Linked DNA regions of Canis lupus familiaris. The protein of the gene in region 2 binds, or shares a complex with, the protein of the main gene of each other region. Links are inferred from orthologs where the notes say so. Each region holds a gene or a part of one and is shown on either strand. Other genes may lie near its edges. The genes, in order: PPIH, SNRNP200, SNRPD2, PLRG1, LSM5, LSM6 and LSM7.

Region 1 (3,500 bases), on a different chromosome or scaffold from region 2:
CTAGAAGTCCATCAATGATCTTTCCTGTAGGAAGAATAAGAGCTAGACTTTATTATTCTCATTTGCGTAGCACTTTCCAGCTTCTGATGCCCACTGTTAGCCATCATCTCATTTGACCCTCCTCCTACCATCAGAAAATTGGGACCTGATGGAAGTGAAATGATTTGCCCAAGGTCACAGGTAAGAGGTTACAGAGCGCTAGGTCTGAGCGACTGCAGAGCCCTACCATACCATGCTGCCTCCGCATGGCGTTTCTTCAGTGATACCATCTGGGTTTCCCTCCCAGACACACAGATCAGCCAAGTGGTCACACACTCTATCACACAGCCCCTCCGCCCTTCCCTTTAGTGCTCCAAGCACATGTCCTCCCCACCTCCCACCACCTCCACCTTCCCAGACCAGTTATATCAGCTGAGCCCTCTTGGGCTTAGAGCCTGGGGACTGGCTCCTTTGGAAGTCCCACTCCGTGTGAATGGGGCCTGGACTCTGGGACAGGAATAGCACTCACCAAACACTACGTGCTTCCCATCCAGCCAATCACATTTAGAACAGGTGATGAAGAACTGGCAGCCATTTGTACTGGGACCACTGTTTGCCTGACAGAAACCAAGTACATCTCCAGTGAGTTTTCCCGGCCACGCTAGCCGAAGGATAAGATTCCCAAAAGAGCCTGTAGCCTTGATTCCTTTCTTTCAGCAAACCTTACTGAATATCTACTATAAGCCAGGTCTCCAGAGCTAGGATCCAAGGACATAAACAGGATACATAATCACTGCCCTCAAGGAGCTAGATCCTTGAATCAAGGCACAGTTCTCCTGCAGTGTGAATTTGTATGTATGTATTTATTTATTTATTTAGTGTGAATTTTTAAAGTGGGAACAACTGTTCATGGGACCTGATTTGCTGTATTTAATCCAATATTGGTTATACCTGGATTATAGTTACAAATTAGATACCACTGAGAAAAAGCCTGTTGCCTATGCCATAAGCTCTTTTGTCTGAATAGCTTTGTACTGCACCGTGACAACGGTAATAAATGCCTTTAAGAAAATGCAAGAAATTGCTAAGCTGGTGCCATGCTAGAAAAAGACTACATTTAATCAATGATGTTTGCTTTTTACAGCTACACCCAAAATCCTTATTGAATTTTACAGGAGCAAGAATTTTTTAAATTGAGAATCTGAAAGTCTCTACCTGTATCCTCCCTTGAAAAAAATTTTTTTTTTTAATTTTATTTATTTATGATAGAGAGAGAGAGAGGCAGAGACACAGGCAGAGGGAGGAGCAGGCTCCATGCACTGGGAGCCCGACGTGGGATTCGATCTCGGGTCTCCAGGATCGCGCCCTGGGCCAAAGGCAGGCGCTAAACCGCTGTGCCACCCAGGGATCCCCTGAAATTATTTCTATATCATTACATTTCATAATGTGTTATAAAAGAAGAGGCTATTATTACGTACGATGCAGAGGGATAATTTCTAGGGTGATATTTGACTTTCTAATGAAGTGTACTTTTGTACTTTACATGCTAGTATCCCCAAATTGCCTTTAATACACTAAATTCAGGCTTTTGTACATCGACAAGTTACCTTTCAGTAGCACTGCCTTGCAACAAGGTCTATGTGAACATTTTATTGCATACTTCTTTTGTTTTGGAAAAAAGGAGTAGAAAGTGGAAAACAGAGTACTATTAAAAGCACAGGTCTCGTAAGATTAACATGACGGAGACAGGACTGGAAATAATGACATAGGCCACTAGCAGTAATTGGACGCTGCGTGGATTTAAATTGGTTAATTCTGTGCTCAGCTGTGTAGGGATAAAAGTGTGTATGAAATACATTCACAACACTGTCTAGGGGAACGTGCTCACTACCTCACTGAGGATTTTTAGTTATACTTAGAAATGCCCCACGTAAGATGAGGCTACTTTTGGGTTTTGTGCGTGTATTTAGAACAGCTCATTGCACGAAAGCAAGGGAATGCCTAAGCCAGTCACAGAGGGCACACATTGTGCAATGAGGGACAGACTTCTCAGGGCTCCCAAATCTCTGCTTCCTTCTTTCCACCTAACAACCAACCAGTCAATCAATCTACCTTGCTGCTTGGCGTATGAACATTTATTAGCAAACAAACCAGAGAACCATCATATACATTTTTATAGCTCAGGAGACGCTCTCTGTCCTCAGCCACTCATTAATTCATTCTCAGGCAGGTCTGCTTACTGCTTTCGAGAATAAGCTCTGGAGCCAGATGATGACCTAGCTGGAATCCCAGCTCCACCACAGACTGTGTGACCTTAGTTTAGTCACATACCCTCTCTGGGCCTCGGGATCCTCATTTATACCTATCTCAAAGGTATGCTGAGAGGATTAAAATGAATTAATGCAAATACAGTGCTTTTTGAGCAATTGGCCAATAAATGTTAGCCATCATGCTGATGATCTTTTGGTCATTCATCGGTATCTGCTCCACGCCTTTCTGTCTCAAGTAGTAGGGCTTCAAGACCACTGAGGCCCAGTCCCTGCCCTTAAGGAACTTACGATTTAGAGGAGGATGGAAACAAAAACAGTTCTGCACATGATTTGTGATAGCACAACTTCACCAGTGTCAGCTTGAGGGAGCAGACACGGTTTCCTTCCATTTCTCTGACTCCTCCATAGATGCTAACATAGGGGCATGCCCATAGAGGGTTCCAGCCCTCCTAGCAAAGATCCAAGCCCACCTAAGCTCCTCCTGCAGCATTTACCCGTGATTACCCAGCCTGGCTTTCCAAAAATGGGGCTTGCACAGTTTGCTGGTCTGGTCTTGCCCAATTCTCATGGTAGCATCCTGACTAGCTTCCCTGCGCTCACCTCCATATTCCCATCTGCCACTCACCCCGCAGCCAGGAGCTTCATCCTAAATCACAAAGTTTATTGACCCTGTTCAAAAAAGCGTATGGCTCTCCATAAACTATGCAAGAAACTCCAGACACTTCATCTTTACTTTCATTTAAAACCCTTAAGGAGCTAGACCCACCTGCCTCTCCAGGGGTCTCTACTGGCCCTTCCCTCTCCCATTCATAAGAGATGTTCTCATCCTTCCTCACCTTCAGCCCCTTGACTGCCACCCTGCTATTTCACACCACCTTCCTCTGAAGCCTGACCCCTGAAGTACTTACTCTCATGCTACGGGGCCCTCCCAGTACTTTTACATACCCGGGGGAGCCCTTATCTCAACAGGCAGTAGTGTGAATTATACTACACTGGGCTTGTCATTTTGCATGAGTATTGCCCCATTAGATGTTAAGTGTCAGAAGGGCAGGGATCAGGTCTGTACCAGAGCACCGTACACCCGTCTGAAACAGACTGGGTGTCGGAAAACCTTCACTTGATGAATGCCTGCCTAAATAAGTGGAAGGTTATGCAAGTGAGCACAGAGCGGGTGCCTGGAAATACTAGATCAGGGAGAGCAAGACTAGAGACCCTGCCAGGGAAATGGGTGATGAGGGAAAGCAGGGAGGG
Region 2 (3,500 bases):
AATTTTTTAAACCACTAGTTTGTGAAATTAAACATTACAATGTTTCTGATTTCTGCTTTCAGTCCTCAATTATTCTCATATAAAGATCAGATTTTCTTTTTGGTCATAAAGTAGTAAGTAACTGAAAATGGAGTTAAGTGGTAGTGAGAAAGGAGAAGATCCACCACATAGAAAAGCCCAACTATCTTGGAACCATTTAAAGACAAATTCATGGGATGCTTAGGTGGCTCAGCAGTTGGGCATCTGCCTTTAAATCGGCATGATCCCGGAGTTCCGGGATCGATTCCCGCATCAGGCTCTCTGCATGGAGCCTGCTGCTCCCTCTGCCTATGTCTCTGCCTCTCTCTCTCTCTCTCTGTTTCTCATGAATAAATAAATAAAATCTAAAAAAAAAAAAAAACAAATTCATGAGGCGCCTGGGTGGCTCAGTGAAGTCCTTGCCTTCTGCTCAGGTCATGATCCTGGGGTCCTGGGATCAAGCCCCACATTGGGCTTCCTACTCAGCAGCGTGGCACCCTCTCCCTCCCCACACCACTGGTGCTCTCTCAAATAAATTATAAAAATCTTTAAAAAAAGACAAATTCATCTTAACATTCATAGAGATTGACAATACTGTGTAACTGGTGTTTTTCACAATGACCACTCACCTAAATTGTTTTATTTTTTTATTTTATTTTTTTCCTAAATTGTTTTATTTTTTTTTAAACTTCCTGGCTTTTTTTTTTTTTAATAAGATTTATTTATTTATTCATTCAGAGAGACCGAAGAGAGAGGCAGAGACACAGGCAGAGGGAGAAGCAGGCTCCATGCAGGAAGCCCGATGTGGGACTCGATCCCGGGTCTCCAGGATCACACCCCGGGCTGCAGGCAGCGCTAAACCGTTGCACCACCGGAGCTGCCCCCTAAATTGTTTTAAAGCAAAAAAAAAAAAAAAAAAAAAAAAACCCAAATAACCACCAATAGCCCCAAGATTAAATTCTCAGCCTTGTGTCTTGTCATTACTCTAAATTTCCCTCCCGAAGTGACAATGTAACCTTGAACTCTGGATCTAGTGGATGGATAAGTCTTCCAAAAGAAACTTCATCCTGGTACTTAAACATGGAGTTCATTTGAGATGCCTTTTGTGGTTTTTTGTTTTGTTTGTTTATTTTTGAGATGCCTTTTGACAATTTAGTTTCAATTAGCTAGCTAGGGATCCCCAGGTGGCTCAGTGGTTTAGTGCCAGCATTCAGCCCAGGGCCTGATCCTGGAGACCCAGGATCGAGTCCCACGTCAGGCTCCCTGCATGGAACCTGCTTCTCCCTCTGCCTGTGTCTCTGCCTCTCTCTCTGTGTCTCTCATGAATAAATAAATAAAATCCTTAAATAAAATAAAAATTAAAATCTAAATCAATAAATAAATAATTAGCTCTGTCAAACTATCTTCTAGAAGGAAATTTCAGGAAGTTTTCCATCCATCAGTTTTCTTTCTGTCCAGCTCCTAGGACCTACCTGTGGAAAGAGAGGTGCGATCACAGGGCCTGTGACCTCCTCTTCCCGCTCCAGCTGTACCAGCACCACAACCGGCCCACCACTGTAGGGGACAAGAGGGGGGAGCGCATCAGCACCGAGGTAGTGCGGTGGGATGGCCCTGTCACTGTGTGCCCAGCAGGGACCCTGGGGCAGGGCGCCCGGCCAGCCCTGGCTCACCTGCGGATGCTGTCCTTATCCACCACTTCGTAAGAAAGCTCAATATTAGGGTAGCGGTTGCAGAAGCGGGCCACATCAGCGATCTGGCTGTCAGACAGCTGAAGCAATGCATTTCGCTCTTCATCTTCCATCTCCATGATGTCAAAAACACTCTCCACTCCCTGCAGGGGTATTCAGAGGTCAGGGAAGGAGAACACAGAGTAACAGCAAATGGAATTTGGCTCGACAGCTGCTAATCTTACTTCCTATACCATCAGAGCATCCATACACAGCTTCAGAAAGAACACAGCCCACAACTGTACAACTGTCAGGCTCTCTAGCATCTCAATATGTAACACCCTCAGAGAAATTAGAACTCCCCCCTGCTCTGACTCACCCTTCCCCAAACACAACCCCCCCACCCCCCAAATCCCAGGACACCTGTCTCAGCCATCCAACCATCCAGGTCCAGACCCAACTCACCTTGTCTGTGCAACGTTTAATATGCTCTGAAGTGAAGTGTGGCAGCTGTTTCAGGTAGGAGTCCTTGGACCACATGGCTTGGGTTACCATCTGGGCCAGTTCCATAGCTGCCAAAGCAGGGCTAAGCCACCCATTGCTGGAGAGGACATCCACGCAGGCCTGAATGAGCCTGATTGCCTGAACCAGGATAGGAGTGCAAGAGAAGGAAAGGTTGGAACTGCTACTTCACAGGCCACCACCAGCCCCTCCACTCCATACCCACACCTGCACCCACACCATACCTTGCTAAGAATTTCCTCTGTATCTGACTGCAGCTCAGCACTCAGCTGCATGCGGGACAGGTGAGCTTGCAGAAGCAGGTTGGTCTTGACGTGTGGGTCATTGAACTTAGGGTTATTCAGCTTGTGGGGGACCTTCTGAGCCAACTGGAGAGTGGAAGAAAAATAAAGAGCTGGTAATGGACAAGTGACCCTCCCCAAGAACAGCTCTCAGGCCCAAAGTACCACCCGCTGCCGCAAGCTCACAACCCTTAAAAACAGAGAAGTGTGAGTGATGTGTTGGGGTCTTCCTGTGGTGGCAGAAACACGGCATGCTCTGGGCACACAGGCTAAGTTTCAACTCTAAAGATGTGGTCCCGAATCCACGATGTCCTCCTCACCTGTCGCAGGAGGTTATCTTCATGGTGCCGGATGGGAATGTTCTCATACTCTGCCGCATTGGAGATGATCTCGATAAGCCCTCGCACCTTGGTCTTGGCATTCAGGGACATGCTGAAGAGCTCTGACAGCCAAAGGTAAGGAGAAAGGGGAGGAGTCAGAAGCAGGTAGAAAAGGAGGAGGGAGGAAAGTTAACTGCCTGGGCTACCCTACCCCTGTACTACCCCACAATACATCCCTCTAATGAACACACAGGGTGCTAGAAGCCCTGTGCCCTCTCACCCACTGGGCTGCAGGCCCCTGCATGAGACTCCTTTAGCTTGGGCTCCCCAGACACCAGCCCCTGCCGGCCCCTCACCAATGGTGGTGTAGTTGATGTAATAGTAAGCAGCAATCATGCCCAGGTTCAGGGGTGCCACATCCATCTCGTCTTCAATGCTGATGCACTTGGACTGCTCCAAGTCACTCAGGGTCTGCTCCACGAGTTCTGACAAGTGGTCAGACAGGTGACGATGGGAGATGCCTGTAACGGTGAGAGAGAAGTAGGGAGTCACCAGGAGATGGCCGGCAAGGGCCATGAGAACCACAAAAGGATACTGTGCACTCCACAGTCCACTGACCCTGCAGGTTGTAGTAATTGGGGTTCTGTGTCATGCGGCGGTACAGAAAGGTCCAGGTCAGGTAGTCCACGGCA
Region 3 (4,015 bases), on a different chromosome or scaffold from region 2:
TCAGATTGGAACCCAGAATTCCCAGTGTTACTACTGCAGACTCTCCCTCTTAGGTAGAACCACCTATTACAGAACAAGCCCAAAGCCTCAGTTCGTTAGCAACGGGCATGCGCTCTATCGACGGAGACCGCAGCACCTGCAGCTTGGGCCAGACGACACAGCCACGTCAACCTGAGACCTCAGGGAAGGGGAGGCGGGGAATGAGGGCTCCCGCGGTGCCCGTGCCCCTGCCGGGCCTCACCCGCAGCTCCCGGCCCCGCGGCAGCTCCTCAGTCTGGTGGTGCCAGCCGCTCCAGATGGTGTAGGTCGCCGAAGCCAGGGCCAGGGCCAGCAGAAGCAGAGGCAAGAAGTGCGCCCGCGGGAGCAGGCGGCGCTTGGGCGGGGAGGGCGGCTCCAAGAGGCCACGTTCCCCGAGCCGTAGCCGGGACCGCCCGCGGCCCCCGGAAGGCATGGCAGCTTCGCCCCGAAACCGGTCCCGGACCGCGGATAGTTTAGGCCCAGCCAAATCCCACCCCATGGAATCACCGAACCAATAAACACGAAGAGCGGCTGCACCATCCCACCCACCCTCGGTCAGTGAAACCAATGGCGACCCTCACTCTGAGAACACGCCTTCCTGTCTCCCTGGGGCTTTGGGGTTGGTTCCCCTGAGGGTTGCACAACCCAAAAGGGTAGTGCGAAAGGGAGAGGCTCCGCCTCAACGGAGGAACGGAAGCCAATGAGCAATGTTTGATCCTGAAAAACGTTGGACCAAGGAGCAGGTCTCCGCCCCTCCCGTAGGAAGGCAAAGGATTGGTTACTCGAAGTCGGAAAGATCAATAGACACGTAAACGAACCGACACCGATGGAAAAGGGGCGGTGCCCGTCCCAGAAGCGAGGAGCCGATTGGCTACACGGAGGCCGCGCCCCCGAGGGCGGAGCCGGCGGGCTTTTGGAATGCCGTGTCCTGTCCCTTCTTCAGCTTGTGCCGCTCTACAACGAAACGATTTGAGTCGGACCCGCTTTATTCTTCTCTCCATTGTCTTCTCTCCATATGGTCCTGAAAGACCCTGAGCTACTACGCAGTGCTTCTACCCCACGTCTGCGCGGGGCCGGCGCGGATTGCCACGGCAACAGGCCTCGCCCACACCGTGCAGGTTGGGATTGCGCAGGCGCCGACGGAAGTCGGCCACAGGAAACGGAAGTCCCGCCTGTAGCCCTCTCTTCAGAGGCAGGAGCAACGCGGGGAAGACGGAGCTGATCTGCGAGCGCAGCCGCTACCACCATGTGAGGCCCGGCGGGAGTGGGGTCGAGGGCGTAGATGTGGCCGTTTGCCGGTGGTGGGCGAGGCGGGATCGGAGGCAGAGGTTTTAGGGGTAAAGTACGCACCGTTCTGACGAGTTTGAGGATGGGCATGGGGCCTTTTACGGGTCCTGAGTTCGAGGGAAGGCACTTGATCAGTTAATGAGCCGGGATTTCCCCGATAATGAGTCTCGCTGAAATGGATTTTAAGGGGAAGCAAAGAACCTGGGAAACGGGAGTGCGGAGTTTTAGAAATAACGGTTTGAGGTACGGGACTTACCCGGACAATTTGAGCTGGAGAAGTTCACCTCATTCGCGACTTTTTCGGCTCACGAATCGCCTTAATGATTTTCCTGATTTGGTATTCATTCAGCAATTATTTATTGAGCACTCATGTATTAGGCACTGCTTTAACTACGTGAGATACATCAGTGACTGCGACCCCCATCCCGCAAGAAAAATGCCCTGCTGCAGCTTATGGGTGTGGGAAAAGGCAGACAATGAACACACCGGTGATAAAAATGTAAAGTGTATGGCGTGTGTTAGGTGATCAGAGCTAAGTGAGTAAAGAAGCAAAAGAGCAGGATCCAAACAATGGGGAGTACTAGTTTTGAGAGAAAGTAACTCAATAACCAGTGCAGGACACATTGAGAAGGCAGCAGTTGAGCAGAGACCTGAAGAACCTGAGAACCACAAAGATACCTGGGGAGGTATCCAGGCAGAGGGAAAACGAAGGGAGATGCCCAAGGTGAAAGTCTGTCTAATATCTTATATATTTTTTAAAGATTTTATTTACTTGTGAGAGACACAGAGAAGCAGTATCCCCACAGGGAGCCCGATGTGGGACTCGATCCCAGCATCCCTGGGTCAGGATCTTTTTTTTTTTTTTTTTTTAAGATTTTATTTATTTATTCATGATAGACATAGGGGGAGAGAGAGGCAGAGACTCAGGCAGAGGGAGAAGCAGGCTCCATGCAGGGAGCCCGATGTGGGACTTGATCCCGGGACTCCAGGATCGTGCCCTGGGCCAAAGGCAGACGCTAAACCGCTGAGCCACCCAGGGATTCCCCCTGGGTCAGGATCTGAGCCGAAAGCAGATGCTCAGCCATTGAGCTACCCAGGCGCCCCTTGCCTAATATCTTAAAGGACCACCTTCAAGGCCACTGGCTGGAACAGAGAAGGATGGGAAGATGCCAGGCATTGTAAAAACTTTGGGTTTTACTTTTTACACAGAGATGGGAGCCATGGGAGGGTTTCGAAGAGTGAAATGATATGACTTAGATTTTGATACAACCTCTGGGACTGCTGTGGAGAACAGACGGTCAGCGGCATGGGCTGAGGTAGGGAGACAAGTAAGGCTCTCAGGAGAGAGATGATAGAGGTTTAGGCCATGGTAAGAAACAGATTCTGGGTATATTTTAGAGGCAGATGACAGAATTTGCTGACATTGAATGTAGGATGTGAGAGAGAAGAGTCAAGTTGATATCAGGGTTTCTGCTCAAGGAACTAGAATGATGGAGATGAGGAAGGCTGTGGAAAGAGTAGGTTTGAGTGATTGGGAGATCTGGAGCTCAACTGAGGATGTATACGGTTGGAAATGTCTATTCAGCATCCAGCTGGTGATGCCATGCAAGAGGGACTGAGCAGGGGGGTGGGTGGGTTGGGGAGACATCATGTGACCACCCACGCTCTAGCTCTGGGCCTCTCACCTACGGGTTCCATGCTTGCCCCTCAGGAGCCTCCTCAACAAACCCAAGAGTGAGATGACCCCAGAGGAGCTACAGAAGCGGGAGGAGGAAGAGTTTAACACGGGTCCGCTCTCTGTGCTCACACAGTCAGTCAAGAACAACACCCAGGTGCTTATCAACTGCCGCAACAACAAGAAGCTCCTGGGCCGTGTGAAGGCTTTCGACAGGTAAGCACCTGGGTCCTGGAAGGTGTTCTGTCTTGGAAATGCAGACACAGTTCCAGTGTGAGGAACCCAAATACAAGGTTTTCAGAGTCCTGGGGCATAAGCATATTCAGACCTCAAAGTGCAATGGTGTCTTGTTGTCCTTCCAGCTGTGCAGTACAGTAGTGATGGGCATGTACTTGGGAGCCAGGCTTCCTGGGTTTGTGTCTCGACTCTGCCTCTTAGCAGCCATGAAACCTTCAACAAGTAACTTTATCTCTTCCATTCAATGGCAGTAATTCTGGTGATTGCAGAGATTCAGTGACTTAATACATGTGATGTGTAATACAGTCATTAGAAGTACAGCATCTGGCACCAGGAAGCTCTTATTAATCAGGTTTTGCAGTTACGATATAAAGTACCATGCCCCAAAAGAAAAAAATAAAGTACCATGCCCAGTACTTTTTTTAGGCTCCAGAGACACAGCAATGACTGAAAGAGGACTCCTATACTTAAGAGAGCTTATGCCATAGGTAGGGAAACCAACAGCAAGCACACAAACAATGTGTCATAAGAATAGTAAAGGCAGGTGAGAGTGTGGAGTGCTGGGAAGGAGGTGTTGTCCTAGACGGTAACGCTAGGGGTTCCATAGGAAGAGACCGTGATGAACAGACCTAAATACAATGAAGGAGGAAGCCAGGGTCTGAGTGTTTCAGCCAGAGGGAACAGCAAGTGTTATTTCCTCTCTCGGCCTCAGTGTCCTTGTCTGCAAACTGTGCGTCATAAAAATACCCCTCATAGAACAGTTGTGAGGATTAAATATTTCTGTAGGAAGGGTACTTG
Region 4 (4,290 bases), on a different chromosome or scaffold from region 2:
TTTCATTTTGAAAATTCACATGTAAGTCCTGACATTTCTGATAATACATCCTCACCTTGATTGGCAGGATACTGCTTATGACCATACGAATCCGATGCATTCTGAGGACATTTCTCTTTAAAATTTTCTTTCGAAGTAGGCATGTGCAACACAGGACCATACTCATTACGCAGCTTGATTGCCATTTTCCGTTTGTGACTATTTAAAAATTATGAACATAAGAATGTATCTTTGAGTGCTTTAAATATATTAGCCAAAAGAAATATAGACAGCCAAGAACACAAGTACTTAAATAGCTTAGGTTTGCCTAATCATGTAGAAAAAATTCTATGAAGTTTTTAAAGTTAAATAGTATTTTAAAAAGCTTGGAATTTCCAAGTGCATTTCCACACTTTTTTTGTTCCCAATCCACCACAGAGCATCCATTAAGTCTAAGTAGCATTTTAATTTGTTAACCAATAAATATATAACCTTTCATGATAAATTACCAAGGGTCTGATTTAAAAACATATAGAAACTAATATATCCTTTTAAAAACCTCAGTCAATACACTTTCCTTCAAATGTGTCAATATAAAAACACAGTAAAAGCTTCTATCATAACCTTTACTGGATGTATCTAAAAAGACCAATTAGAACTAATCAAAGTAGTTAATTAGTTCAATATTTTTTAAAGAAATGCACTTATATTAGTCTTAAGAACAGCTCACTTAATAAATTAAATATAAATGCTTGTCTTAGGAATTAAGTAGATTTTAAAAGAAGGGTAAAGGACAAAGAAGGAACACTGCACATAATGCAATCCCAGACTGGAGCTGGAGATGTAGAACCAAAAATATGCCACCACTCAAAAATCTTCATCATACTAACGAGAAAAGATGGGAGTAGAGGTACTGGCCAGGTACAATTTCAGCTCAGCAAGGCTCTGAGAGCAGCGGGAAGCTGAAAGCACATACAAAGTGATTGATTATAAAATAAAACACCTAAAAGGGACTCTCCTAATTACTGGGTATTTATAAATGCAATTAATTAATGGGACTTTTTATTGTGAAAGACAAGGCCAAAAAAAGTTAAATCAGCTTAAATCATGCCCAAACACCATTCATTACCGAATAGACATCCTACGAGTGTTAGTATCACTCACTAAGCTTTAAAGGTCCCCCTCTCCCTGCTCTCTTCCCCCAACATTAGAAGTTACATATTCCAGTAACTGAAAAGGAACAATACCTACCTCTCTTCATCCAAAGGCACAGGTTTTCCGTTATCAGCTACAAACATGTCATGGGTTCTCTTCAATGACCTGAACACAAGTGTGTGCACAGAATGTTTCTGTACCTCCTAAAAAGAAAGAACAGAATCACATATCTAGCTACAAATGACACATACCACAACCTAAATTAAGTCAAAGCAGCCATACACTTTACACATTTAAATATGTAAAAAGCTTTGTACCACTCACCACAGCTATTTGTAGCAAGCGATAGAAGAAGTCAAGGTCAGAGAGGAGGAGGAAGCTCCTCAATGGCCAGAGCCCCAGGTATACCAATTAGTGATGCCTGAGCTTAGCCATTGATTCGAACAAGTATTTACTGAGTTCCTACTATGTGTCTGGCAGGCACTGTGCTAGAAGCTAACAAAAGAATGATGACAAGGCAGCCATGGTCCCAGTGCTCAAGAGAAAACGAAAAATAAGCAACAAATCTTTGATAAGTGCTATGAAGGAAGCAAGCCAAGAAAGAACCTAGGATAGTTATGAAAGATCTCTCTGAGGTATTCCTTAGGCAGAAATTCAGCCTCGTGCAGAGCAGAGGTGAGAACAATCCAGGCAGAGAGGAAATGCCAGGTACACAGGGGTTTGGTGGCTGCAATGATGGCCGGAGCTGCAAGAGAACTGTGCATGTTCCACTGGAAGGTGGACTGTGAGGCTGGGATGAGGTTGCAAGGGTAGACAAGGTGCAGATTAGGTTAAGGATTCTTTTTTTTTAAAGGATCACTGCAACAGTCTGCACTTTTGCTCTAGTGACATCTGGCCAGCGAAGGATTTTAAGCAGAAAAAAACGCGATCAACGTATATCTTAAACAGATCAATTTTGCAGAGGGCGAAGAAATGGAAGCGAGAACACCAGCAGGGAGCTAAGGCACTCGTGCAGACGAAGGATGACGCCGGATCTGAATTAAGGCGAAGGCAGTGGGTCTGGACAAGGCTCCAGAAGTATTTCTGAGATGAGACGGGCAAGGCTGGCTAACAGTTTGATGCAAAACTTCAAAATGGCAGGTCTTCCTGGGGGCAGAGCTGGAGGAAGACCGCCCGCCTCAGGACACACAGCCCCTGACGCTGCTCTGCAGGCGGGGACCCCGCGGGGCCGGACGCGGCGCCTCCGGGGGCCCGGCCGAGACCCGACGCTCAAGAGCCAAATACGGACCGTGGAAACTCAGTCGGGCTTCGCGGCCGCGGGTAACGTCCAGCCAGGGCTCCCACCCGGCCTTCCTCTGCCCCTGAAAACCTTCAGAGACCACCCGGCCTCGGCCAGACAGCCCCCCTCCGCAGCCTTCACCATCCCCAAACCGCGAACACCCCCCCACGCCCGCCGCCAAGGAAAAACACCGCGGAAGCCAACGACCCCTCAGCACCAAGCGCCACCTTACCTCGACCATGATGCTGCCGTGCGACTCGCCGCTCCAACAGACAAGGGACACCAGCCCGCAACACAGAAGCCGCCGCCGCCGCCGCCGCCGCGCAGCCCTTCCGGAATCGAGCGCCCTGGCGCCGGAAGTGGGGCCTCCGCGCAGGCGCGGTAGCCGCCCGGCGGCCTTCTGGGATCGAGGGGCGGGGCTTTCTCCAGAGGGGCGTGGCCTCGGCGAGGTGGGCGGGGCTCAGCGGCGTCCCGGAGGAGGTCTTGGAAGAGCCTTCGGCTCGGACTTAAGTAGTTCGGTTCAGGGGTGTGGTTGTTTGCGCTGTGCCTCCCCAAGCTTAATCCTTTAATTTTATTTTTTTTCCCAGCGAACCCAAGGAGTCCGTTCTAGGGAGGGTCTGGAGAGAGCGAATCCCGGTCCGCGTCCAGCTCCCCTGATTGACGTCTCGGCTCCCGCTGCGCCGCGGGGCTGCCCGGCCTGGAAGCCTCCGCGCGCTGCGGCCTCGGCTGCCGAGAGCACCTGCGCTGATGCTGTCCCGTTAACCCTTGGCGGCCGGATGTTGCGGAACACTTTGCATTTGAGAAAGTGTGCAAAGATCTTTGTTGTAGCCCTGTACGGCAAATCCCCACATTTATTTTTACGCTGCATAGATTTTTTTTTTTTTAAATCTCTCAAAACCGCACGATTTTCAGCCAGTCTGCTAATGAACGTGGTGGCGTCGACAGTATCAAAGGGCAGCTTTTCAAAGCTGGCGGAAGAAAGACACAACTGAAGACTCGAGCCACTTTTATTTATACACATCCTAGTGCCAAAATAGCAGTATTTTATATTGTCTTGTCTTAGGTAAAATGCAGTTTTCGATCAAGCCTGTCCCATTACTTTTCTATGCAAACAGGAGTTGAACATTTGTAAATCCGATAGGCAAATATTTCACTGGCCCTGCTTGTTCCTTAAGCTAATCAATTCCACTGATCTCAGCATACCGCATGGGCTTGGAGAGGGAAGAAGTCTTATTGAGGGACACCTGGGGGGCTCAGTGGGGGAGCATCTGCTTCGGCCCAGGACCCAGGATGTGACCCTGGGGTCCCTGATCATCGGGCTCCCTGCAGGGATGGAGCCTGCTTCTCCCTCTGCCTGTTTCTCTGCCTCTCTCTCTGTGTCTCTCATGAATAAATAAATAAAATCCTATCAAAAGTATATCAATGTGAATTGCTAATCTCATTGGATGTACATTGATTCTTAATTAATCAAAAACATTAAGGTCATGTTTCTACTTGAAAATACAATCGTGTTTGAATTTGAGTGAGTTTGGCCTACTGAGTTTCTGCAGCAGTAGCCACTGGTGGTGGGCCTCATAAAGAAATTCTATAATGGTGCAATATGTACTTGGGAACCTACATCATATTTTAACTTCCTCATAGATAGTGATAACTATACAAAAGAATACTATTTTTAAAGGTGATGAAATTATAGAAATGTAAACAAGATTCTAATATATCTATGGCAATATAATAACTGTCTAGTTGGGGCCTGTTAACATGTTAATCATCCAGGAAAGAATTGTATAAACCCAGACTCATCAAACATTGTAATAGTTGAGATAAATTACACTAGACTATGTTTCTTTTAAAAAGTTCTCTTGAATCTGTAGAATTAT
Region 5 (4,149 bases), on a different chromosome or scaffold from region 2:
AGAAGGAAAAAGAGCTTATTAATACCACCACCACACCCATCATCTAAAAACCCCTTTTCACCCATCAAAGATACCTGGCCTCTTTGCTCCTCCCCCACATTCCCATTTTCTCCAGGTCATTGCTTCTGTTTATAATCCCAACATCGTCAATTAATACTTAGAGTCTAAACAATGATTCTTGGCAAACCAAAAGATTAAAAAGCCCAAGCAAACTAATCTTTAAGCCTATTGTCATGTTCAGTAGCTCAGCTTTAGAGCCCTGATCACAGGAGCATCTCATTCCCAACTTAAACCCACTGGGCCATGAACATTTATTTAACCAAGCCAAGTAATCTGTAATCTCTGCCTCACAAAAATGGGCTACATCTAAAAAAACGCCCAGCTTTACTGTACCTTACCATTGTTATATTATTTCCATTTAGCAAAATTTGATCTAATTTAGTGATCCTTCTTCCTTCTGGTGTGATTTCACTAAATGAAGAAATAAAAGAGTCAAGATAAACAATGATAATCAAAGCCAACATTCTGATCCCTAAAAAAGTTATTCTTATATTATATGAATATGAGGTTGAGCAATTATGTCAGTAGTTTTCAGAGACAAAGGTTATCCACTGGATGACCAAAGGCAACACAGTGAACTGACTGGCCTCAGATCCACATCCACTAGGATCAAAACTAAAAGAAGCTAAAACTGGCCAAAGAGATCAAATATGAAATGGAATGTTTACTAGCCTCACCTTTTTACTATTATTTACTACTAATCCCTTACCCATTAAACCAATCTGTAATCAACTCAATTTTGAAAGCAGACACTGGTTGTGATCTTTAAAACTAATATAATGGAGCTATCATTTATATCTTAAGTTTAATGCCTTGATTTGTCTGAGCACAAACATCCTTGGCTGTTTTTAGTATCTTTTATCTCAAAGCTCAGTCTCCACTAAGTCCCTACCAGTCATTAATAATAACATAATAATTACATCCGGTAATAACTGATCCAATTTTACCAGTGTCAGTAGATAAAATTTCTATCTTTAAGGTATTTCTGACAGGCAATGTTTTCTCATTAATCATTTTAAACTCATTAATACTAAAATTGACTTAAGGAGAGATTCCCCCCAATTCTTTAATTTTTAACACTACTCACAACTCAGTGACATCCTCCAGTACCATATCTGAAATTTGGTGTTAAGAAAAATACATATACCAGGTTGAATTTACTCTGGCTTCTATCTTTACTCCATTTTAATTACAACGTTTAATACAATGGCTCCAGAGCAAAATACTAGTAATCGGTAGGAACTTTATCTTTTTTCAGTACACACACCTCTTAAAACGCTATCAAGAGGTGAATAAATTTCTAATACAATAACCAGTTACGTACTGACTGTCCATATTCTTATTTCTGTTCTTAAGTACTGCAGGAAAACCCATACCACCACCACCTTTTGAAAGGATACTGACAAAGTCATCAAATCCCAAAAGTGTGCCAACAATTTCTTTATCACTCTTCATCACAATGTGAATTCTTGATCCTATACATTTGTCCACGAGCTCTATATATATATATATATATTTTTTTTTTTTAAAGAAAAAAAAAGAGGGGTGGGGGGGTGGAGAAAAAAAGATTATTTTACCTGTTCATTTCTTCAACAAATATTGGAATGCCTACTGGCACTTGTTAGTTACTTACTGTGAAAGATAAACCAGAGAAAGTATTCATTCAAAAACTTTAGAGATTTTACGGTACGTTATCTCTGTTGCATAAACAAAAACGTCCTGTTTACCACTTACCTCTCCTTTGTTGAAGTTTATCCATCACGGTTGTGGTTTAATGTTATTTTAAGTGATTTTGATTAACATACGAAATGCATAATTAATATATAATTAACATCTGAGCCCCCCCCACCCCCTGCAGCCCAGGTGGTTCAGCGGTTTAGCGCCTGCCTGCAGCCCAGGGCGTGATCCTGGGGTCCTAGGATCGAGTCCTGCATCGGGCTCCCTGCATGGAGGCTGCTTCTCCACCTCTCTGGGTGTCTCTCATGAATGAATAAAAATGTTTGTTTGATGTTTTTTTTTAAGAGTCTAAGCCCCATGAAACAACTGTGGTTGTTTTCCCAGGACTCTATCCTCAGTGGGCAATGTCTGGCACATAGCAAGCGTTCAAAAAGAGTTGGTGGAATCAAAGAATGAAAACTTCCAAAACAAGGCCACTTCCGATAACTCCATCAACTCTTTGGCTACAAAATATCGGAAGAGGCACAACCGTATCCACCAGAGATTTCTTCCTGTCACTATCTCTGTGTTCGGACCGCAGTTTGAACGCCTCGTTAGCTGGCTTCGTTATCACTCGGCGTGATGCTTACAGGTGGAGCGCTCTATCTCCTCCTGGTGTGTGTGCTATCCGCAGGCAGTGGGAGGCGTCTGAATTTGTCCAAGAGCGCCCAGCCCTCGTGCCTAGTGCAGAGAGGCTCCCGGGCGGCCCGGGGCCGCAGACACTCGGGAGCCGGCAGACGAGCCGCGGAGCACTGAGGCCCTTCATCCCCACATTTCCCTAACACTCGACCAAGGGCTACTTCAGCCGCAGCCGCCCGGGCCCCAACACTTAGCCTGAGCCCTCCGGTCCCCTTCTCCGCGATTACCTAGAGGCAGCAGCTGCGACGGGTTAGTGGTAGCGTTGGCCGCCATGGCTACGCCGGAAGTGGCCCGCCGGCCTCGCCGTCAGCCCGGCAAGTTTGAAAGAGCGCGCTTCCGCTCCCCCCGCCGGCCCGCGGCCCGGACAGGCTCGACCAATCGGAGGCCGAACTTGCGATCCAATCAGTCCGCAGGAGTCGCTCCTTCCCAATCGCTTCTTTCCCGGGCGCTGAGCTCTCGGGGAGAAGGTTCCGTCCGCTGCAGGTGGTGCGGTCTGGGCACGTAGCGGCTTTCCCCGGGCAGTTTCCGACAGACAGACGCTAAAGGGATCCTGCTTTGTGAATAAATCCTTCCTGCAACCCGGAAGGTTTTGCAAAATACGGAAATCTTTGAATCGTCTTATTTTCTGCTATGAAGTTGCACCTCATCTCAAGCCAGGATCTTTTTTCAGACCGAACCAAAAATTTTTTTTTTTTTTTTTTTTTTTGCCACTAATGCACTGTGTTGCAGTTTTTGTAAAAGCCGTTTTTCAAAGCATCTACTCCTAGAGCGCCCATGTGCCTCAGTGGGTTAAGCCTCAGACTAGATCTCAGCTCAGGTCTTGATCTCAGGATCCGCTGGTTGGGCTCCACGTTGGGTGCGGAGCCTATTTAAAGAAGAGAGAAAAAAGAATCTAGTGCTTCTTTTTAAAGTCCAGTGAATTGAAAACCCACAACCAGCATTTAAAAAGAAAAAAAACCTTCTACAGTGGAAATTTAAAACACATTTTATTTTTATGCCTACTACCTTATCATTCTTACCTTGTTGTAGCTAGGAGTCCAATTTATCACAGACTGTATCCACTTTCAACACTTAACTGTCTTGTCTTATAAGCAGCCACCAGATGTCACTGTCCGCTAATGTCATCACACAGGAAACCTTAAGGCTTTTTGTTTTTTTTTTGTTTTGTTTTGTTTTTTTAAATTTTTATTTATTTATGACAGTCACAGAGAGAGAGAGAGAAGCAGAGACACAGGCAGAGGGAGAAGCAGGCTCCATGCACCGGGAGCCCGACGTGGGATTCGATCCCGGGTATCCAGGATCACGCCCTGGGCCAAAGGCAGGCGCCAAACCGCTGCGCCACCCAGGGATCCCAGGCTTTTTGCACTTCTGTTTTGCAAAGAATAGAAAGCAAACAAATTCTCTGCCTTAAGTCTGTTTCATATTTGTATCCCAGGAACGTAAGGCTGACGAGTCTAAACAGGAGAGAGCAGAAAAAAACATCATTCATTCATACAACAGATAGTTGTAATACACACATCATTCATTCATGGAACAAATATGCATTAGCTACACACTATTTGGCATTTTGCTGAGTATAAAACTGTACAAAACAGAACTACAATGTCTTCTGCCCTTCTAGAAGCTTAAGGATGAATGGAAGAGAAAGCCTACTAACAAATATAATATACAAGGTATATGAAATTTAAAATATAAAAGACCTCTTAGTTTCAGGGATCCTAGAGAACTAGAGAT
Region 6 (4,247 bases), on a different chromosome or scaffold from region 2:
ACAGAGGGGGTACCTAGCCCTCTTCTGAAGGATTCATACCAATTCCTCCTCCCCATCCAGGAGAGGGCCACTTTCCTCCCCTCTCTCACTCCAGCCATGAATCCAGCACTCAGAGAGCACCCCTTCCCATTTAGCAGGCTGTTCTGCAGTTTTCCTGTTGATCAGTCTCCCACAGTAGGTTCTAAGCTTCTCAGAGACAGGGGAAAAGGAACCTAAGCTCACCGGCCAATCAATCCTGTGGGAGACATTTGAGGACAGTGCCAAGGAAAATCCCTGTCCCTTTCACCCCTACCCGCAAACTATGGGTATAGTGACTAGCACTGCATCATCTGTGCACTTAAATGGCTATACCACAGTCATATCTCTGCTACTGACCACCAAATAAAAGACAAAGAAAATAGAAATGTTTCTGTGTTGTACAAGAACCAGCTGCATCCGAGTCAACAGAGATGCTTGTTAAAATGCAGATTCCTGAAGTCTACTACTCCTAGTCAGACTCCCCAGGCAAGGGGACACCGTAACTGACATTTTATAAAGCTTCCCAAATGATTCCTGTAAGCAAATGCGGACATCTGGAGACATTCTGGACTGTCTTGAATGAGGAGGGTGGTGCTAGGACATAGAGGCCAAGGATGTTGCTTAACATTCTAAAAAGCACAGGACAGTGCTCCACAGCAAAGGATTATCCGGCCCAAAATGTCAACTGAGGTTGAAAAACTCTGTTATAAACCCTTTATCAAAAAACCATTGTTCTCTAGTATTCAAGCAACAAGGAGTTTTAAAAAACTTTCAAGGTATAACAAATGAGAACAAACAGCTCAATTCTAATCAGATGATCGAGTACAAATTCTAACTTTTAATTTTTTTTTAAATTCTAACTTTTTAGATACTTTATCCTGACATAAAGGGAATCTAAAAACAACTGTCAAGAAATCTTGAAGGGGGGGAAATCCTTGGGTGGCTCAGCGGTTTGGCGCCTGCCTTTGGTCCAGGGCGTGATCCTGGAGTCCTGGGATCGAGTCCCGCATCAGGCTCCCTGCATGGAGCCTGCTTCTCCCTCTGCCTCTCTCTCTCTCTCATGAATGAATAAATAAAATCTTTAAAAAAAAAAATCTTGAAGGGTTGCCATTTTAAGTAATGGATTTCTTAGTCCCAGTCCTGAAAATGGTCAATTTCCCAAGTGTTACACTTCCCTCAGATGACTAAAATCTCTGTTATTTCTAACAGGACAAAATAATTCAAGTGATGCCAAGATTTTTAAAAATGCTCATACAAGTATGCCACAGTTTAGTGAGAGACCACCCAATGCAGCATAAGGAGTACTCACTTGGGAGATGGGAAACCTGAATTCTAATCCCAGTTCTGCTACTTAATGTAGCTGTATACCTTGGAGAACTCATCATTTCACCTCTCAAGGCCCCAGGTTCCTCATCTGCAAAATAAGGGAGTTATGCTGGATGACCACTTAAGAGATCATCCTGCTCTAACATTGTCAGCCTATGCAGGAACTCCAGTAATACTTTTACACACACACACACACACACACACACACACAAACCCAAGATAATTCTCTAGACTCCTGCACAAAATTCAAGCAATTGGCATTATGAAACACCACCATAAAAAAAAAAAAAAAAAAAAAAAAAGTGAGGGTGACGTGTTAGAAATACATATTATGAGCTATCATACTTTTGGTGAAAACAGGCACAACCTTACATGAAATGCAAACTGCTAAAACTCTCCTGGAAAACAATTTGGCAAGGGGTATGTAGATCTGAAGAGACCTTACTGGGGCACAGCACCTATTGTAAAAATGTCCTTGCTCAGAATCAATCCAAGTGAATCATCCGAAATGCAGTTTTAAAAATAACGTTTATCAAAGTACTACCTGGGATGCTAGGATGAAACAAAAATTCGCAAACACCCTAAATGCCTCACAGTCGGGAAATGGCTGAATAATTTACGGGACCTACACAAGGACAGAACAGGTAGCCCACCAAAAGGCGCAAAACCAGAAATAACATTTAAGAGGCACTTTTCAATGAAAGCGGACAACTCTCTGTACTGTTAACGGAGGGCACAGGTAGTCGTAGCTCAAACAGGAAGTGGCACGTGCAAGAGTAAAGATGGAAGGGGTTCAGTGAATAGGGCTTCCTTCGCTAAGCGCTTCTGAGTCCAGGATCTCCACAGCCTGTGTCTCTGCGGCATTGGGGGGGGGGGGGGGCACCCTAAGGCCCCATCCCCTGCTCCGGCCGCGCGCGCTCATCCGCGGCAGCCCCGGCGCCAGGACTCGACGCCGTACCCTGCGGGCGCCCGCGGCCCGAGGCCCCAGGCCCCGGTAAGGTGGCCGCGGCGGCCCCGGAGCCCTCGGAACCCGGCGCGGCCCACGGGGCCCCGCGGCCCGCTCTCCCGCCCACCCGCCGGCGAGGACCCCGCCAGCAGCCCCGGTCCCGGTCCCGGAAGGCGAGTCGGCGGCGCGGGGAGGCTGCGGCGGGCGCCCGCGGGGTCCATCGCCCCTCCGGGGGGCTCTGGGCCGGGCCCCTGGGGTCCGCGCGGCCCGCCTCCCGGCTGCCGCTCCCCGCACCCACCCCGGGCCAGCGAACACCGGGGCCCCCGCCGCCCGCGCGGCCGCCCGGCTCACCTGGCGGCCGGGACCCAAACCCCCGCTCCAGGTGGCGCGCAGCTGCGGCCTCCGCCGAAGCCCGGGCGAAACCGAAAGTGAAACTGCCGGAGCGGGCGGCGCGCCTCTGCGGCCGCCGGGGAGCGCCCTTCCGGGCTACGGCAGCCTGCGGGGCCCAAGAAGGCCGCGCTTCGGCGGCGCGCGCCGAGCCGGGAGTCTCGTTTGGCCCGAAGGCAAAGTTGGGGCTTTGGCGGTCAGAGGAGAAAGAGCCGCTGCTGCTACCTCTTAGCAGAAAGCAAACACCCCTTAAAATACTTAAAACAAAACAAAGCCTGGAAGTGATCTTTTAGGCAGGATTTCCTTTAGGCAGAGATGCAAGAAATAGCTTGAAGTCCTACTAAACTGGAATTGACTACTAGGGTCATGACTATACAGGCTCGGAAAGGTCCTTGAAAAAGTTAATGCAAATAAATAAAGCAGGCATCCTCAAATCTTTAAATCCACTTTGGATTTTGATCGTGCGATGAAGTCATTATTAGCAAGAGATTGTTTCCATGGCAACGTAATTGCCACAAAAAGAATTAAAATCCCTAAAGTAGCTCCGTATTATAATGGTATGACTTGCGTTACATTACAATCTAGTTCTAATTGGAAATGGTATGCAGACATTATTTAAGTGCTGCTATGGGAACTTGGTTTGGAATTCTGCATGGATTCTCAATATTCTTGCTATTAGTGGAAAGGGCGAAGAAAAAGAAGTAAAGTGTTATACCAACACTTGATTCCTTTTTCTCCTCACACACATACCCTCAACTTAAAACCTATACTTTAATTCTGCTTGTGATTTGCAACACTCTAAACAAAGAAATAATATCTTTGGACAGATTCTTAACTCTTAAGTGTTACAGATCTAAGATGCAGGGTTTTTTCCCTAAGATCTACATGAGTTTCCCCTCTCGTAAACCTGTCTTAGCTGAAGAAAGAATCTTTGATTGATATGACGGCCAGAGAACAACTGGGTGTGATTTGGTGGTGAAAAGAGATTTCCTTATATCCTTCCATAAAAGCTCACTTTGGGTAAAAACCAAGCATTACAGATTTCTTGAAAAGGCTTTATTTGAAGCTCTTGCGGTATAAGATATAATGTGAAAAAAATTAAGTATCATTTAAATAAAATAATTAGCTGCAAAGAACAAACATAATCAGATATAAAGAAAACCCTGTCCCTAAAAAGCCTTCCTCACAAAAGACCTCAAATTGTACTATATTCCTCAGTGGTTGTTTCAGTGATTCATAAAAAATAATTTTTTGATTCATAGCCTTTTTCTCATTGCTATAGAGCCCTGGTGGAGTCATTAAGACGGGTGTGGTAGGCAGGAGGCAATGAGAAGTTTTAAGGGCATGGTTCATCTGCAGGCATAGTTGCTACCTCTTCCAAGAGGCATGGATCTCTGAGGGCCCCGCTGGACCAGTGCAGCAGGCACCATTGATAAACTACAATTATCAAAATGTAGTTGTGCCCAGAATCCCCCTCAGCAGCTTATAATTGGCTTTCAGTGATTCACAAGGCAACATTCCATGTTTCACAAGTTTTTCTTTAGCATTTTTTTCCCATCATCAATATTTA
Region 7 (4,123 bases), on a different chromosome or scaffold from region 2:
GCGCATGCGCAGAGGAGCGGCGCCTACACGGCCAGAGGGACGCGCCCCAAAGCCCTGCCCCTCCGGCCTTCAGGCCTCCCGGCCCAGGCACAGCTGGCGAAGCAGGGGTGCCCCCACCACGCTCCACCGCGCTGCTGTAGTGTCTGCGGGGAGTACGGGGCTGGACGGGACCGACAGCTCTGCGCACCACGGCGTGGGGGCCCAACCCGGCCTGCTGCGCTCCTGTGAGCAGCTTCACCGGCTCAGGGCGCCTTCACGCCTCCAGCCGTGACCGAGATCGCCTGGCTCTGTGCCTTCCTCTCTCCCCGACTGACCTCCCCTCCGCCCGCAAGACAAAGGTCCCGAGGACACTTCCCCGACGAGCTTATGGGCAGCGGGCACTGTGGCCGCACCTGCGGGTCTGCCCTCCTCCGTGGGGCACGAGCAGAGTTCTAAAATGGGGCTGACCCCGGTGACCACCCAGTGGAACCCCTCCCCTCAAGTGTGGGAGGGAACCTGTGAATAGGACGGGATGCCACTCCTGCCATTAGGTTACAGGAGGATAAAGACGAAGGAACGGGCACGTGTGATTACGGTCCCAGAATCAGTGCCCTCTCAGCTCACCTAAAGAGATTCTGCTCGGCCGGCCTGACCTAATCAGATGAGCTCAGGGGAACAGGAACTGTGTCAAAAAATTCAAAGCATGAGAGGGATCTTCCCACTGGCCTTGAGGGAGCAAACTGCCATGCTGTGGACAGTGCTGTGGCCAGGGCCGGCGGGCAGCCTCTAGGACACCTGTAGCAGAGCTCGGGGACCCTGGTCCTACAGGGGTAGGACCCTCGCAGGGGACCAAACCCTGCCCACAACCAACAGGGCGTCTGAGACACTCCTTTAGTGCAACCTGAGCCCCTGAGCCCAAGGCACCCAGACTCCTCCTGACAAACACCACAAGATAATAAATTCATGTTGCGTAAGCTGCTAACGTGGTGGCAACTTGCTACACAGCGTAGAAAACCCATATGAGCACCCTGAGAAACGAGAGCTGTGTCTCCTTCACGGGTCCCAGAGCCAGCACGGCGCAGACAGAGCAAACATCTGTTCGGGTTCAAGTTCTCACCACTGCTGGCTACCTAGACTTGCAGGCACCGCGCTGTTAACCACGCCGATGCTACCCAATCGTCCACATCTCCGGGAGAAAGGATCTGGGTCACTGTCTCATGAAACACAACGAAAGCAAAGAGGCAGCTGAAGAAATGAAATGTTGCTCAAGTGCTTGCTTGTGTCAGAAACCACATCGAAGGTGCCTCCAACCCTGTGATCCTCACCACCGCCCGGTGAGGTGGGGGGAGTGAAGAAATGGAGCCCTGGGGGGCGGGGTGAGCTGCCCGAAGTCCCACAGCCAGTGCGCCAAAGAGCTGTGGCTCTGACTCCAGCTGCCTGGTGCTAGGACCCCAGAGGCCACACTGCCTACACGCACCAGCAACACTGGGCCCAGCTCCTGCCCTCCTCACTATTCCAGGGGAAAGATGCAGAGGTCGGTGTCGTGTTTACTGCGTAAAGCGGGGAACGGTGACAGACGGTACCAGGAGCTGACACCAAAGGCGTGGGGCCCAGGGTGGAGGATCAGGGAAGGCTTCCTGGAACAAGAATCCTGAGCTGAGAGCAGAAAAATGACTGTGGAGTTAACCTGGAGTTAGAAAGAGAGACTCCCAACGGCGTCACTCGTGCCAAGCCCCGGCCACCCCACCGCGGCCTCATACCTAACCTGGCCGCACCTGCAGCTCTCCCAGGAATGCAATCTCCACCAGTCAGCCTGGAACTTCCAGGTCAGCCCTCCCGAGCTAGTCTTCCTGAAAGAACCCCCAGCATCCCCCAGAGGAGGGGGACCCTGCCGGAAGCGATCCAGCGTCTGCTCCTGCACCCTCTGCCTACGAAACCCTCTGGGGCTCTGCGCCGTCTCCTAGGTGGGGTGCTCCCTGGCTCGTGAATAGTGGGAGAAAGCTCCCGAGATCTTTGAAATTCATTCACCCAGAGAAGCCTTGTGTTTTAAGCCTGGTAAGAGCCCAGCAGGCGGGTGCACGTCACAGCCTGGTGGCAGCTGAGAGCTCCGCAAGGCTGCCCCTTCCCCGGGAGGGACCGGGCGGCCCAGAGGAGGGCCCACCTGTGTTTAACAGGCCCCTCTGGACCATCCTTGACACCGGGCCGCGGCTCGGCAAGGGAGATGCCTGGTTGGGGTGCCCAAGCTAAGGCATGTCCTGGCATCTGGCGGCATCCGGGGGTTGGCTGCTCCCCTCCCCCCAGCGCCCCGACAGCCCCGAACAATCTGGCTGGCGTCAGGGTCACGAGTGCGGAGCCCAAGGAGCCGGGGCGGGGGTCAGTGACCAGCGGGGACCAGCGGGGGCGGCTGCCTCGGAGCGAGGACCCCGCCTGCGCCTCGGCCGCTTCGGGGTGTCTGCAGCTCCTCCCGTGCCTCAGTTTCCCCGCGTGCACGGCGTCGGACGGAGGCCGTCGCGAGTCCTCCCAGCAAAGCGCTCCGGCCTGCGCCCGGGCATCCGCCACCCTGCTCGCCTCCCGGAGCCGTCGACGGGGAGCGGGCGGCGGGGCGGGCGGCGGGCGGCGGGGGGCTCTCACCTTCGCGGCCTCCCTGAAACTTCACCCGAATCGTCTTGTCGATGTACTTCGACAAGTCCAAGATGCTCTCTTTTTTCTTCTTCTCTTTGTCCTGCGGGGGAAGCAGAGCGCGTGAGGCGCAGAGCGCGGCCGGGTCCCACGCCGCCCGCCCAGCCGGCCCCGCCGCGCGCTCACCGCCATCTTGCCGCCGCGCGCCGCTCTGCGCAGGCGCCGCCGCGCGCCCTTTGACCCCGCCCCCGTGCGCAGGCGCGGAGCGCACACGGCGCAGGCGCGGCGGGGCGCGCCGGGGCGTTGCTGGGAAACATCTGCCGACGCCTGCGGCTCGACCCGGCTGACATGGCGGCGGCGGCGGCGCTGGCGCGGCTCGCGGCGGCCTTCCTGCTCCTCGCGACCCAGGTGAGGCTGCGTCGGCCCCGCCGGCCCCGCCGGCTGCGGCGCCCGGTCCCTCCGCCCCGGGCCCCGCGCCCCGCGGGAGCCCCGCCCGGCCTGGCCTGGGGGCCAGCCTCGGGTCTGCTCGCCCCCCGCGCGGTGGCCCGCGGGCCGGGAGCCGGGCCGTGACCTTGCGGGCCGGCCCCCCCCGGAGCCCTCCCCAGCCGCAGCGTCGCCCAGTTGCGCCTGGGTCTGAAGTCCGGGAGGCCCCCCGGCTCCCCAGGCCCTGCTCCGTCCCGAGGCCCCCGGCCGCCGCCGGGGACGCCCCCCGCCTGGCCCCCAGCCTCAGTTTCCCCTTCCGCGCGAGGTTAGCGCCCACCCGCGTGGTTGCGGTAAGCCGTCCGGCGTGGCCCCCGGTTCCCCACAGGGAGCGGCCGAGAGCCCGCGTCCCGAGTGGGGTCCAACCGCCGCCCCGTGTTCTGTTGCGTGACCTTGGGCAAGGGAGGCCCCAGCTTCGGGCGTCAGTTGCTCATCTGCAAAAGGAAGACGTCAGTGAGGACTCGGCGGTGATGCTCATGGGGTGACAGCTGCAGCGTGCTCCTCCTCGGGCAGCTGGGGTCAGAGGTCTCCGGGCCAGCGGGGGGCCTGCTGCCAGCCGGGGGGTGGACATCCTCCTAAGCGCACTTTGTATTTGCAGGTCCTCCCTCCCCGGTTCCCTGGGTGATGCAGCTCAGGGAGTGGTGTCCCATTAACCTTGAGCTGCCCGCCGCAGGTCCCCATCTCTCTCCTGTAGCCTCCGGTGGCCACTTGCGTCTCACACACCCCCCAGTCCATGGGCGGCACAGCAGGAGGGATGTCTCTGAAAGTGTGTCAGGTCTGGTTGCATCCAGATGAGAGCCGCCCCTCGGCTTCCAGCGCGTGTGGGAGGCCTCTGTGGTTGGGCGGCTTGGGACGCTTCCCCTCCTGTTCCTAGTTTGCTGAAGGCGCTCCGCCTCCGTCTGGTCTTCCCCGTTTCCCCGGAATGCCCCTGGTCATCCTTCCTAGTTCTTCCCTGCCCCCACCCCCCTCCGGAGAGGCTCCCTGGGAGGCCCCGTCCCCCGCTGTTTGCCAGGCCCTGCTCCATCATCTTCCTCAGCACTCTCTC

What was found.
Region 1: SNRNP200 (region 2) and PPIH share a complex: the UniProt entries of both Homo sapiens proteins name them as parts of the U4/U6-U5 tri-snRNP complex. The link is inferred for Canis lupus familiaris from reciprocal best matches to the Homo sapiens genes SNRNP200 and PPIH.
Region 3: SNRNP200 (region 2) and SNRPD2 share a complex: the UniProt entries of both Homo sapiens proteins name them as parts of the U4/U6-U5 tri-snRNP complex. The link is inferred for Canis lupus familiaris from reciprocal best matches to the Homo sapiens genes SNRNP200 and SNRPD2.
Region 4: SNRNP200 (region 2) and PLRG1 share a complex: the UniProt entries of both Homo sapiens proteins name them as parts of the minor spliceosome. The link is inferred for Canis lupus familiaris from reciprocal best matches to the Homo sapiens genes SNRNP200 and PLRG1.
Region 5: SNRNP200 (region 2) and LSM5 share a complex: the UniProt entries of both Homo sapiens proteins name them as parts of the U4/U6-U5 tri-snRNP complex. The link is inferred for Canis lupus familiaris from reciprocal best matches to the Homo sapiens genes SNRNP200 and LSM5.
Region 6: SNRNP200 (region 2) and LSM6 share a complex: the UniProt entries of both Homo sapiens proteins name them as parts of the U4/U6-U5 tri-snRNP complex. The link is inferred for Canis lupus familiaris from reciprocal best matches to the Homo sapiens genes SNRNP200 and LSM6.
Region 7: SNRNP200 (region 2) and LSM7 share a complex: the UniProt entries of both Homo sapiens proteins name them as parts of the U4/U6-U5 tri-snRNP complex. The link is inferred for Canis lupus familiaris from reciprocal best matches to the Homo sapiens genes SNRNP200 and LSM7.

Annotation. Positions count from the first base shown.
Region 1 is NC_049236.1:747,011-750,510, forward strand, and holds part of PPIH (peptidyl-prolyl cis-trans isomerase H), read right to left. Parts: intron 597-3,500; coding exon 509-596; intron 25-508; coding exon 1-24. UniProt on the Homo sapiens protein: PPIase that catalyzes the cis-trans isomerization of proline imidic peptide bonds in oligopeptides and may therefore assist protein folding. Participates in pre-mRNA splicing.
Region 2 is NC_049238.1:34,675,953-34,679,452, reverse strand, and holds part of SNRNP200 (U5 small nuclear ribonucleoprotein 200 kDa helicase), read right to left. Parts: coding exon 3,427-3,500; intron 3,330-3,426; coding exon 3,165-3,329; intron 2,931-3,164; coding exon 2,809-2,930; intron 2,576-2,808; coding exon 2,432-2,575; intron 2,328-2,431; coding exon 2,151-2,327; intron 1,850-2,150; coding exon 1,689-1,849; intron 1,573-1,688; coding exon 1,491-1,572; intron 1-1,490. UniProt on the Homo sapiens protein: Catalyzes the ATP-dependent unwinding of U4/U6 RNA duplices, an essential step in the assembly of a catalytically active spliceosome. Plays a role in pre-mRNA splicing as a core component of precatalytic, catalytic and postcatalytic spliceosomal complexes.
Region 3 is NC_049222.1:110,602,361-110,606,375, forward strand, and holds the start of SNRPD2 (small nuclear ribonucleoprotein Sm D2), read left to right. Parts: upstream 1-1,215; 5' UTR 1,216-1,264; coding exon 1,265-1,266; intron 1,267-3,016; coding exon 3,017-3,196; intron 3,197-4,015. Other genes in the region: QPCTL (glutaminyl-peptide cyclotransferase-like protein), read right to left, coding at 242-517. UniProt on the Homo sapiens protein: Plays a role in pre-mRNA splicing as a core component of the spliceosomal U1, U2, U4 and U5 small nuclear ribonucleoproteins (snRNPs), the building blocks of the spliceosome.
Region 4 is NC_049236.1:52,571,453-52,575,742, forward strand, and holds the start of PLRG1 (pleiotropic regulator 1), read right to left. Parts: upstream 2,801-4,290; 5' UTR 2,655-2,800; coding exon 2,646-2,654; intron 1,338-2,645; coding exon 1,231-1,337; intron 942-1,230; exon of another isoform or gene 870-941; intron 199-869; coding exon 56-198; intron 1-55. UniProt on the Homo sapiens protein: Involved in pre-mRNA splicing as component of the spliceosome. Component of the PRP19-CDC5L complex that forms an integral part of the spliceosome and is required for activating pre-mRNA splicing.
Region 5 is NC_049235.1:44,955,705-44,959,853, forward strand, and holds the start of LSM5 (U6 snRNA-associated Sm-like protein LSm5), read right to left. Parts: upstream 2,801-4,149; 5' UTR 2,689-2,800; coding exon 2,643-2,688; intron 1,557-2,642; coding exon 1,461-1,556; intron 1,176-1,460; coding exon 1,148-1,175; intron 472-1,147; coding exon 399-471; intron 1-398. UniProt on the Homo sapiens protein: Plays a role in pre-mRNA splicing as component of the U4/U6-U5 tri-snRNP complex that is involved in spliceosome assembly, and as component of the precatalytic spliceosome (spliceosome B complex).
Region 6 is NC_049236.1:44,949,699-44,953,945, reverse strand, and holds the start of LSM6 (U6 snRNA-associated Sm-like protein LSm6), read right to left. Parts: upstream 2,801-4,247; 5' UTR 2,642-2,800; intron 1,433-2,641; exon of another isoform or gene 1,328-1,432; intron 1-1,327. UniProt on the Homo sapiens protein: Plays a role in pre-mRNA splicing as component of the U4/U6-U5 tri-snRNP complex that is involved in spliceosome assembly, and as component of the precatalytic spliceosome (spliceosome B complex).
Region 7 is NC_049241.1:57,200,201-57,204,323, reverse strand, and holds the start of LSM7 (U6 snRNA-associated Sm-like protein LSm7), read right to left. Parts: upstream 2,801-4,123; 5' UTR 2,791-2,800; coding exon 2,785-2,790; intron 2,702-2,784; coding exon 2,611-2,701; intron 1-2,610. Other genes in the region: SPPL2B (signal peptide peptidase-like 2B), read left to right, coding at 2,947-3,006. UniProt on the Homo sapiens protein: Plays a role in pre-mRNA splicing as component of the U4/U6-U5 tri-snRNP complex that is involved in spliceosome assembly, and as component of the precatalytic spliceosome (spliceosome B complex).